Linked DNA regions of Macaca fascicularis. The protein of the gene in region 3 interacts with the protein of the main gene of each other region in a pairwise test. Links are inferred from orthologs where the notes say so. Each region holds a gene or a part of one and is shown on either strand. Other genes may lie near its edges.

Region 1 (3,649 bases), on a different chromosome or scaffold from region 3:
ACCCCCTCCCCAGACCCCACACCAGGGCATCTAGACTAGGGTACATGTGGATGCCACAGAGCAGTTGCCACTGGTCCTCTGGCCCCAGAGACATAATATTGCCCCCTCACACACACCCACACAGCCACCCAGGATCTCCAGGGTCCTGAAGAGCCTGGCACACACTTACCATCTCCATAGGGCTCATTGATGGGAATCATGCTCTGGGCCTGAAAAAGGAGAGAGAAACATGGAGGAGAGGTTTGAAAATGCAGGCTCCGGCCGGGCGCGGTGGCTCAAGCCTGTAATCCCATCACTTTGGGAGGCCGAGGCGGGCGGATCACGAGGTCAGGAGATCGAGACCATCCTGGCTAACACGGTGAAACCCCGTCTCTACTAAAAAAAATACAAAAAACTAGCCGGGCGAGGTGGCGGGCGCCTGTAGTCCCAGCTACTCGGGAGGCTGAGGCAGGAGAATGGCGTGAACTCGGGAGGCGGAGCTTGCAGTGAGCTGAGATCCGGCCACTGCACTCCAGCCTGGGCGGCAGAGCAAGACTCCGTCTCAAAAAAAAAAAAAGAAAATGCAGGCTCCAAGCTGGATATCAGCTGGGGGGCAGGGAGAGATGCTTCTAAAAGAAGGGACTGGGCCGGATGTGGTGGCTCACGCCTGTAATCCCAGCAATCTGGGAGGTGGAGGCAGGCGGATCACTTGAGGTCAGGAGTTTTGGACCAGCCTGGCCAACGTGGTGAAACCCCGTCTCTACTAAAAATACAAAAAAATAGCTGTGCGTGGTGGTGCACACCTGTAATCCCAGCTACTTGGGAGGCTGAGGCAGGAGAATTGCTTGAATGGGGAGACAGAGGATGCAGTGAGCCGAGACTGCGCCACTGCACTCCAGCCTGGGCCACAGAGAGAGACTCCGTCTCGAAAAAAATAAAAAATAGCCCGGGTACAGTGGCTCACACCTGTAATCCCAGCACTTTGGGAGGCCAAGGTGGGCAGATTACAAGGTCAGGAGATTGAGATCATCCTAGCCAACATGGGGAAACCCCATCTCTACTAAAAATACAAAAATTAGCTGGGTGTGGTAGCATGTGCCTGTAGTTCCAGTTACTCAGGAGGCTAAGGCAGGAGAATTGCTTGAAACCAGGAGGCAGAGGTTGCAGTGAGCCAAGATCACGCCACTGCACTCCAGCCTGGCGACAGACCAAGACTCTGTCTCAAAAAAAAATAAAAACAAATAAATAAATAAAAGAGGGGGCCAGAGAAAAGCAAAGAGGCCTTGGAGGAATACAGGATGATGAAATGGGGTCACCCAGTGCCCTGATGTACTCGTGTCCTCAGTACTCCCCAGGGAGGAGGGTTCCCCATTCATGGAGCAGGAACTCCTGCTGGATTAGAGCAGCTCATGGGAGGAGGGTAGGAGGCAGAGGACTCACGAATGGGTGCAGGGCACTGCTCCACCCTGGAAAAGACCACCTGTAGCCTATCCAGCACCTCCATGCAAATTAGGAAAAGCACCCCCTCCTCAAACACCGTATACTCATTTGGGCAAAATAAAAATTGGCATTGTGTGGACATATGGTTCAACCTACTACTTCCATCTGCTAGGAATTGTTATAAATGATCCAATTACAAAATAAAAATCTATAAAGTTGACAGTAGTAGGAGACCCCCAAAAGTCAAGTTGCCCTTGGGCAGTGCACAAGTTGTGCAACCAACTACTGCGGTCCAGCCTAGGATACTCACAGCCTCCCAGGCAGCCGGGTCATGCTTAAAGAGGGAGTTGGTGAGCTCCACGGACACACGCTTCCGGTAGTCTGGGTTCTTGTCCTCAGAGATGCGGAACAGGACAGCAGCAGCGTAGGTGGCTGAGCAGAGAGGAGAGGAAAAGCTAGGTTAAACGTCTGCCAGCCTCCATCATGCCTGGGGGAGTGGGACCCAGCTGCCCTCTTCCAGCTCACCAGTGCCCTCGTTGCGGGAGTGCAGCAACTCCATGAGTGGGGCCGAGGCCCCCTCTGCATCAATGGCGTCAGCCGCCTCCTTGTCCTGGGCCAGCTCACACAGCACCCCGGCGGCCACACGCTGGATGTTCTCCACCGATGAGTACAGGAGCTGGGGAGAGGGGACATGGGAAGCAGGGGAGAGGTGGGAAGGGGTGAGGCAGGCCGGACAACACACCCCACAGCCCTGCCCACCTCCACCCTGTAGCAATTCCATAGTGGAAAACGGGCCATCACTGGGGAGTAAGTGTTACTGTTTTAAACTGGGCTGAGTGTTGTTCATGAACTACCTTGAAATTACCTGTTACTCTGCTTCATCTAACCATTGGAATCTAGTGTTAAAGAAGTCACTGACATGAAAGATGTTAAACTCTTGTCTGTTATGGTACTTGCACATATTCTCCCAGTTTGCTGATTTTTTTAATGCTTTTTAAAGGTTCTTTCTGAAATAGATGGTTTTCATGTTTATGTGGTTGAATCTCAAGTTTTTTTTGTTTTTGTTTTTTCCATTTGTGATCTCTTTCCTTGCTTTGAAGCTTAGAAAGCCATGCCTGTGCAGGGGGTTGCTAAGTAGTCAATCTGGTGTGGCCACTTTCCTCCAAACTCCTCCAAAGACCTCTTGATGCCTGGTCCAGGCCCTCAAAATCTGGGACTCCTAACCTTGCCCTCTAAGCAGTGGTGGGGGCAGCTCTCCTGCATACCTGCCCCAGACTCACCTGCACAAACAGAGGGATGGTGTTGAGCCGGAAGATCTCCATGCGGTTCATGGGGTCCCGGGCGAGGATGTGCAGGGCTCCGGTGCAGCCCTCCACAATCTCCTCCATCCTCACACCATCCTGCAAGAGAGGAGGCAGGGGGCATGGGACAGGTGCTGTCAGCCGAATGAACTTCACAGGCTCTTGGAACTGGCATCAGTTGCAACTGACCTCTGCATTCACACACACACCCACAGAGGACACCTGCCCCCCAGGAAGGTTGTCACAGGCACCACCAGCTCACATACCGTGTAGGGCTGCTGTGTGCCTGCAGCTACGTGGCGCTGGGCATCCTGGTGGGCCTTGACCAGCAGTTGGACGAGGCGGGGGATGACCGCTGCCTCCTGCAGTGGGGCATGGTTGGCTGGGCACAGGGCCAGATTCCTGATCAAGCCAATGGTTGCCTGGCAAAAAAAAAAAGGGGCAGCAATCAGGGGCACTTCTTGGACATCTGAAGGATCCCAGCTTCCCAGCTTCAGGTATCCCCTCTCTCCTTCACCTCTTCTGTCCCCGAGGCCAGACACAGGCACACTAGAAGATATCCAGAGAAGGAGACCATCCCAGCCATGTCACTTAATCCACAGGATCTGGGGGTGCTCATGGCTAATCCTTTTCTTTTTTTTTTTTTTTTTTTGAGATAGAGTTTCACTCTTGTTACCCAGGCTGGAGTGCAGTGATGCAATCTCACCTCATTGCAACCTCCACCTCCTGGGTTCAAGTGATTCTCCCGCCTCAGCCTCCTGAGTAGCTGCGATTACAGGAGCCCACCACCACGCCCAGCTAATTTTTTATATATTTTGTTTGTTTGTTTGTTTGTTTTTTTGAGACGGAGTCTCGCTCTGTCGCCCAGGCTGGAGTGCAGTGGCGTGATCTCGGCTCACTGCAAGCTCCGCCTCCTGGGTTTACGCCAT
Region 2 (4,317 bases), on a different chromosome or scaffold from region 3:
AGCCCCTGTAGGTGGAGGTGGCCGCAGGCTCCAGCTGCTCAGACACCAGGCTGTAGCGGTCGTCCAGGCCCCCGGACCCCAGCCGCAGCGAGCGCAGGGACAGTGTGTCATAGTCGGCCCGGCTGCCAACCCCACTGCGCTCGTGGAAGGACACAGGCCTGGCGGGCATGGGAGGGGTGGGCTGAGCACCCCCGTACCCAGCGGCCCCAAAGGCGCTGCCCCCGTTGTGGGCAGAACTCAGCCTCCGACTGCAGCTCAGGTCTACGGCGGAGCGGGAGGACCAGGAGGCTGGGCTGCAGGCTGGCTTGGCGACGGGCCGGAAGCCCTGTGGGTCGAGAGGGGGCAGTGAGGACGTGCCTGGGCTCACCTGCGTCCAGCCCTGCCGCAGGGCCTCCCCCTCTCCGAGCTGCAGAGCTCAGATTGTCCCCCTCGGGCTGGGCCCGTTGCTTACCGAGGTCTTGTCCCCACTCAGGCCCTGAGAGCGAGAGCTGAAGCCAGACTGCAGGGTGTGGTACTGCCCCCGGGATGTGCCTGTGGAGAGGGACAGTGGTAGCCCAGCTCTGCCACACGGCAAAGCCCCGGCCTCCTGCCTCCTCCCGACTCCATCGCTATTCGCAACCCCAGGAGCAGCCTCCAATCCAGGGCAGGGAGGCCAGGGGCTTCGGGGCCAGGGCCTCCCCATTCCTGCCATGGCCTGGTCTCCTCACATGTCAGCCCTGGTGGTCCACCTTCCACAGCCCACCCCCCAGCTGTGCCTCCTCTGCCCAAGAAGGCAGATGTGCTCACCCACTGACCTCCTGGTCGCCTGGAGGAATGTGCCAGGGACTCTGACATCAGTTCTCCAATCCCTGCCATGGTACAGCGCCCAGCCTCCTCCTCCAGGAAGCCAACCTGGCCTGCCCCAACTCACACTGACTCCTTTTGAGCCCCTCCTGTGCCCAAATCTCATCTGTGCCCAGTCACAGGAGAGTGACACTGTCTCCCTGGACCAGTATGCCCTGTTGCAGTGCTCTCTCCCACCCGGCAGAGCCCGAGGCAGGGGCCACACCCACCCCGTCCAGCCACACACACGCCAAGGGCAGCTGCGTCAGCCCGACTCCACGGTGAGTGGACAGACAGGCGGGTGGACAGAGGGCGGAGGGCGGAGGGTGGATGGAGAGACAGGCAGGAGGAGGATGGGAGGGCTGCTGTGACTGTTGTAAGGATGGACAGAGTGGTGGACGGAGGGGTGGGAGAGCCGGCGACAATGGTGGGTCCCGCAGGTGGATGGTGAGTGGGGAGAGGGATGGACTCGTGGGTGGGTGCAGAGAGGACGGGCTGATGGCGGGGGCATGAGAAGGCCCAGCAGAGCGACCACTGGCTGAGGGGCTCAGTGTGGGGTACAGGGAAGGGGGCCATGGCCCTCCCACAACTCTGCCCAGAGCTGGATGCTCTGTTGGGTACACCCCCACAGCAGGGGCCCCAGACTCACCCTGGTTAATGGGGCTTCTGGGCCGGGGCTATTAACTCTCTGACGCTGGTGAGGCCCAGCCCGGAGTAGGGGCACGCCCCAGCCTGGGGACCTCACCCCCACCCCCCAATTATAATCCACCCCCCTCTAATTGGCAGGGTAGCCAGGGTGGTAATTAACCCTTCCCTCACCGTCCTCCACCCCATGACCCCTGGGCACCCAACTTGGTCACCAGCAAGGCTGAGGCCCCTGGAGGGAGGACCCCACAGTCCAGGCCGCCAGGCCGGCCCTTCCGCTGGGTGACCTTCACTTCCCCCCGGCCAGTAGCTGGAGACCAGTCCTGGGGGTCCCCTCTAAGCACCACGATGAACTGGCATCTGGGTCCCTGGCATTCTGGGAGGTTCCTCTTACTGCCTGACCTTAATCCCTGTTGCTGTAGCTGGCGAAGGAGGAAATGACGTTCTAGAACCACTGCCCTCAACCACAGCATCTGCGTGCTCCTGTCACTCACACTCACACGCATGCACACGCACTCGCGTGAGTGGGGCCAGGATTCCGCCACAGGTGGGTCTGGCTGGCACTGAGGGGTGCTCCTCCACCTGCTGTTCCCACAGAGAAATCTGGGTCACTCCAGTGGGGCCCTCCCCTCTAATTCCTCAGGGAGCCCCTGGTCCAGACAGGCCTGGCTTTCCTCCAGGACTTCCCAGCCCCCCCACACCTCTCCCCGCTTTCCTGTTCTGCTCATTCCCATGAGGTGTGGGAGAAGCGTGGGTGTCTGGGTGTCCCTGAGACCGTGCGTGAGCCTGTGCTTCTGGGGCAGTCGCGTGCGTGCTCCGGGTTTGCCGATTGAGGGGCCTGGCCCGCCTGCCGTGTGCCAGCCTTCCCTGTCATCCCCCACGGGGGAGGCTCTAGGCTGAGGACACAGGTGGGGCCTGGCCAGGCTCTGTCCCTGGAGGACCCGGGGGTCCTTGCTTGGATGGGGAGCCCCACCCATGGCTTCTCCCCACGCCCGTTGGGGCGGGGTGCGTGACTCAGTGTGAGGCCTGGTGAGTCAGGAGCCAGCCTCACTGCGGCCTCTGCCCTCGCCCTACCACCTCCGCCCGCAGACACCTCTCTCCGCCACCATCGTCCCCGCCGCGGTCCCCTCTGCCCGGCACCTGCCTTGTGCCTTGGCCTACCTCTGGCAGTCTCCGCCTCAGGCTTGGGCTCAGCGGCCCCGTTGTGCCGCGGCTGCTGTCCCAGCTGCAAGAGGCGGGCGCGGACCTGCTCCTGGACGCGGGCCGCCCGCAGCCGCTCGGCCTCCGGCCCCTCGGCGCCCCGGCGGTCCAGCTGCAGGTCAGAGGGCAGCGCCAGGGAGCACACACCGGCCTCGGGCTGCAGGGCCGACAGCAGGAAGTTACCATCCTGCATGGCGGCAGGTCCACCGGGCCTAGGCCTGGCGGCCGCCTCCAAACTCAACTATCTTCACGTCCTGTCCCTCCAGGCCCTCTCCCTGAAGTCCCCGCCCCGCCAGCCTCACCCAGGGCCGCCTGGAGACAGACGCCTGCCCAGCCCTGAGCGCAGCTGGGGGCGGGGACACCTGGCCAGGTGGGAGGGAGGGGCCACCGCCTGCTTAAGGTGGAATTTGGGCGGAAGAACAGGCCCTGCATGGCCCCAGGTCCCAGCCTGGCCTCCTGCCTCCTTTTCTCCCATCCCACGACAGGGCCACGGGGGCCCTGGGTCCTTCTTGTTCTCAGCCTGTAAAGGCCGGACCGAGCCCTCTGTTGTGGGGCTGGGACAGAGGGGCCCTCTGTGTCCTGAGTGTCAGGGAAGGGCAGAGGTCCTGAGGGGGCCTATGTCCTGCCACCCCCAGCATGAAGGGGAGGGTGTCCCACCCCCTGGGGGGTCTAGGGCCCTAGGTAGCTCCAAGGACCAGACAGCCTCCACGGTAGCCCAGCCTTGCTGGTGAGGCGGGGATGAGGCCTAGGAAGGGGTTGGCAGGAGACACTGTGGGGGGCCAGGGGTCAGTGCCGGGGTCAGGACACAGGATGGAGGGACGGAGCTTTAGGGTCCAACCGGACTCCATGGAGGCCCTGGTGCTTGGAACCCAGAGAGCCCCCTCCCCACAGGAAGCATGTGGATGGACCGGCCCTCCCCTGAGGCCTGCCGACCCTGGAACTCACCCTCAGGACCCCCTCACCCCCCACAGAGGCCTCCAAAGGGCTGACTTGACCCTCTCTGGCTTCTGGGACCCTGGCACCACTGCGCCTGCCCCCCAGGCCCTCGGGTGGGAGGCCGTTCCCAGCACATGAGTCAGGGTGCAGGGGGCGGGGCTGCCCCAGGGGGTTGACTCAGAGGGGCCTGCACTCCTGTCAGCGCATGCCAGGTTGGGGCAGGAGCGGTGTGCGCTGAAGAACCAGGGGGTCTGGGAGAGCAGTGGCCGGGATGGAGAGGGAGTGAGGGTGGGGGTGTGCGGGGAAGAACCAGGGGGTCTGGGAGAGCAGAGGCGGGGATGGAGAGGGAGTGAGGGTGGGGTGTGCGGGGAAGAACCAGGGGTCTGGGAGAGCAGTGGCCGGGATGGAGAGGGAGTGAGGGTGGGGGTGTGCGGGGAAGAACCAGGGGGTCTGGGAGAGCAGTGGCCGGGATGGAGAGGGAGTGAGGGTGGGGGTGGGGTGGCGGGGGAGGCCCAGACCAAGCAGGGCTTGTGCCCAGAAGGTCTCCTTCGAGCACCACAGCCAGTGGAGCCAGCAGGCAGGTTCTGAGGCCCTCTGGCCTCCGGGACAGGCCCCTGGTAGATGGGGGGGGGGGGGTGGGGATAAGCCTAGGAGGGCTGGGGGTGGGAGCTGAACATCTTGACAACCCCTGGGCTTCTCTTACGAGCTCATCTG
Region 3 (2,723 bases):
AGACAACTCAGGCTAGGCAGCTGCTGATGGATTTTAGTAACTACAGAGTGAGTGTGTGAGTCTCAATCCTGACAGCACGCATTACAGAGGGATGAGAGTGGAGGCACATCTTCCTGTATGAGTTGGCGGTGGATGACAATCTGCCAAACTAAAATAATGGAAGAGACATTGGTTGTATAAAAAGGAATCAGCTGGCTGGGTGCGGTGGTTCATGTCTGTTATCTCAGCTCTTTGGGAGGCTGAGGCGGGTGGATCACCTGAGGTCAGGAGTTCGAGATCTGCCTGGCTAACATGATGAAACCCCATCTCTACTAAAAATACAAAAATTAGCCAGGCATGGTGGTGGGCGCCTGCAATCCCAGCTACTCAGGAGGCTGAGGCAGGAGAATTGCTGGAGCCTGGAAGGCAGAGGTTACAGTGAGCCAAGATCACGCCATTGCACTCCAACCGGGGTGACAACAGGGAGACTCTGTCTCAAAAAAAAAAAAAAAAAAATTCAGCTTAGCTTAGTTATAAGGTATTTTGTAAGATTCTGGGAATACCATTTCATTTTTCCTTGAGATTGCTTGTGTACCCAAACCAGAAAATATAACAAAAACAGAATCATGTGGAAAAATGTTTTTTTAATCTCATTAATGCATCTTTACCATTAAGCAATTTTGTCAGTCTTCATAGCAAAAAAAGAAAATAATATTTAATAAAAATCAACTGTACTAGTTTATTTACACGTATTACTTTTCCTTTAATAGACATGCTTGCTTTTTTTTTTTCTTTTTAATAGTGAAAGAACTAGGGCAAAAGTGGTTAAATGATTTTTCCTACTTGCCAAATGACAGACCTGAAATTTAAACTCAACTTCATTTGATTATAGAGCTCCAATTTTATTTTAAAATACTATAGGATAAAATAAGAGTTCTGTGTTAAAAAAAGAGACCCTTTTAGGTGCAATTATTTGGGAAATAGTCAAGAAAGAGACTAGTATATATGCATGTCTTTACCTACATGTATGTATGATATTTATCTTAAACTATTCCCTGAGGAGAATTTTCAATTGTTTTCATATAAAATTATTTATAGGTTTTATTGCAGATAATCCTGTCTTACAGAAAGAGCTCAGGATTATCTCCTGGAAATAGAAAGATACATTACAAAGAAAAGAGTGACCATCTGGCCTTGCGATATTATGTGGATTGGGGCCCTGCAGAATTTACATGATGTCACTGAAAGCCAAGAGAAAGAAATTAATCTCTCTATGATATCATCTTAGAAGATAGACTGTGAATCAATTGATGTATCAGATAAATAGATAACTGATCAAAAATGGATGTACTGATTGAGGTAGATAACTATACATAGTTGTATAAAATGATTAACTCATTCATTTCTGAGGTAAAAGCAAAGTGGTGTTCTTTGGCTTCAATAACATTAAATCTCTTAAATTCTTAATTGCATTCTGGAATAATAGCTCTTTTTTCTTTTCTTTTCTTTTTTTTCCCTACAGTTGGACAGTGTCACCTCCCTGATCCAAGCAGCCAAAAATTTAATGAATGCTGTAGTGCAAACAGTGAAAATGTCTTACATTGCCTCAACCAAGATCATCCGAATCCAGAGTCCTGCTGGGCCCCGGCACCCAGTTGTGATGTGGAGAATGAAGGCTCCTGCAAAAAAACCCTTAATTAAAAGAGAGAAGCCAGAGGAAACGTGTGCAGCTGTCAGACGAGGCTCAGCAAAGAAAAAAATCCATCCAGTTCAAGTCATGAGTGAATTTAGAGGAAGACAAATCTACTGAAACCACTATTCTACCTATAGTGCCTATATGACAAAATCCTGGCTAACCACACTGCTTTATTTTACACTTAAGAAGTTCTGTAATTTCACTAAGTTTTGGTGTTTAACTCACAAATAACATAAAATATTGGGTGCCAAATCAACATAAGCAATATATATTTGGGATCATGTCATTGTCATTTCTATATGGTCAGCACCTAATAGTTAATGAGTATTTGCTTGTTCAATGAATGGAATTATCACGTGTCATTCAGTCTTTCCCATCATAGAGATTATCTACTATTTGTTAACAAATAAACACAGGAGATGCAAGAGAGTCCTGTTTATCCATAATACTTCAAGTGCACTTATCATCCTTATCTTTAAGTAAAACACTAACATGAGCTCCTGACTTGGTTTTTTAATAGAAACAAAAGACTTTTATAAAATATTTTCCCATTTAATCTCCATGCTTTCTTTACCTGATCTAACCTGGCAGAAATGTATGATTCCTGCCATAGCTAAAAAACAACCTTGTAATCTCTAGATAGCTGTACTCATTGTCAACTTATTAGGCTAACATCCATTATAAACTAATCAAATTTGAATAGTCAGGCTACTTGCTGAATTTTGAAGGTCAACCTTGGTTATTAATGAAATGTTTTCTTAACATTATAAAGGTTACAATGAGTTCTGATGCCACATATGCACCTTTTGGGTTTCCAATGTGTTAGAAAATTCTGTACTTTTGCGTGTTAGGCCTATCTGAATACATATGTGAAAGAAGAGTTACCACCCACTGGGGAAATGAGACACAAACTATATCCCAAAGTGAGTTATATTAATAACAACAGAAGTGTAAGTTCTGTATGACCCTATTCTTACAAACATAAAAATACATTTTTATCAGCTTGCAATGGTAATTAAAAGGAAAATGCCAGTTTGAAAAACCTTTT

Evidence for each region.
Region 1: the proteins of CTNNA3 (region 3) and JUP interact in binary tests that used the Homo sapiens proteins (3 or more experiments, as listed by UniProt). The link is inferred for Macaca fascicularis from reciprocal best matches to the Homo sapiens genes CTNNA3 and JUP.
Region 2: the proteins of CTNNA3 (region 3) and PKP3 interact in a two-hybrid assay, tested with the Homo sapiens proteins (2 studies listed by IntAct). The link is inferred for Macaca fascicularis from reciprocal best matches to the Homo sapiens genes CTNNA3 and PKP3.

Annotation. Positions count from the first base shown.
Region 1 is NC_088390.1:62,792,245-62,795,893, forward strand, and holds part of JUP (junction plakoglobin), read right to left. Parts: intron 3,143-3,649; coding exon 2,987-3,142; intron 2,820-2,986; coding exon 2,700-2,819; intron 2,096-2,699; coding exon 1,945-2,095; intron 1,852-1,944; coding exon 1,730-1,851; intron 210-1,729; coding exon 170-209; intron 1-169. UniProt on the Homo sapiens protein: Common junctional plaque protein. The membrane-associated plaques are architectural elements in an important strategic position to influence the arrangement and function of both the cytoskeleton and the cells within the tissue.
Region 2 is NC_088388.1:296,927-301,243, reverse strand, and holds the start of PKP3 (plakophilin-3), read right to left. Parts: upstream 2,945-4,317; 5' UTR 2,861-2,944; coding exon 2,629-2,860; intron 532-2,628; coding exon 452-531; intron 326-451; coding exon 1-325. UniProt on the Homo sapiens protein: A component of desmosome cell-cell junctions which are required for positive regulation of cellular adhesion. Required for the localization of DSG2, DSP and PKP2 to mature desmosome junctions.
Region 3 is NC_088383.1:80,657,401-80,660,123, forward strand, and holds the end of CTNNA3 (catenin alpha-3), read left to right. Parts: intron 1-1,501; coding exon 1,502-1,789; 3' UTR 1,790-2,100; downstream 2,101-2,723. UniProt on the Homo sapiens protein: May be involved in formation of stretch-resistant cell-cell adhesion complexes.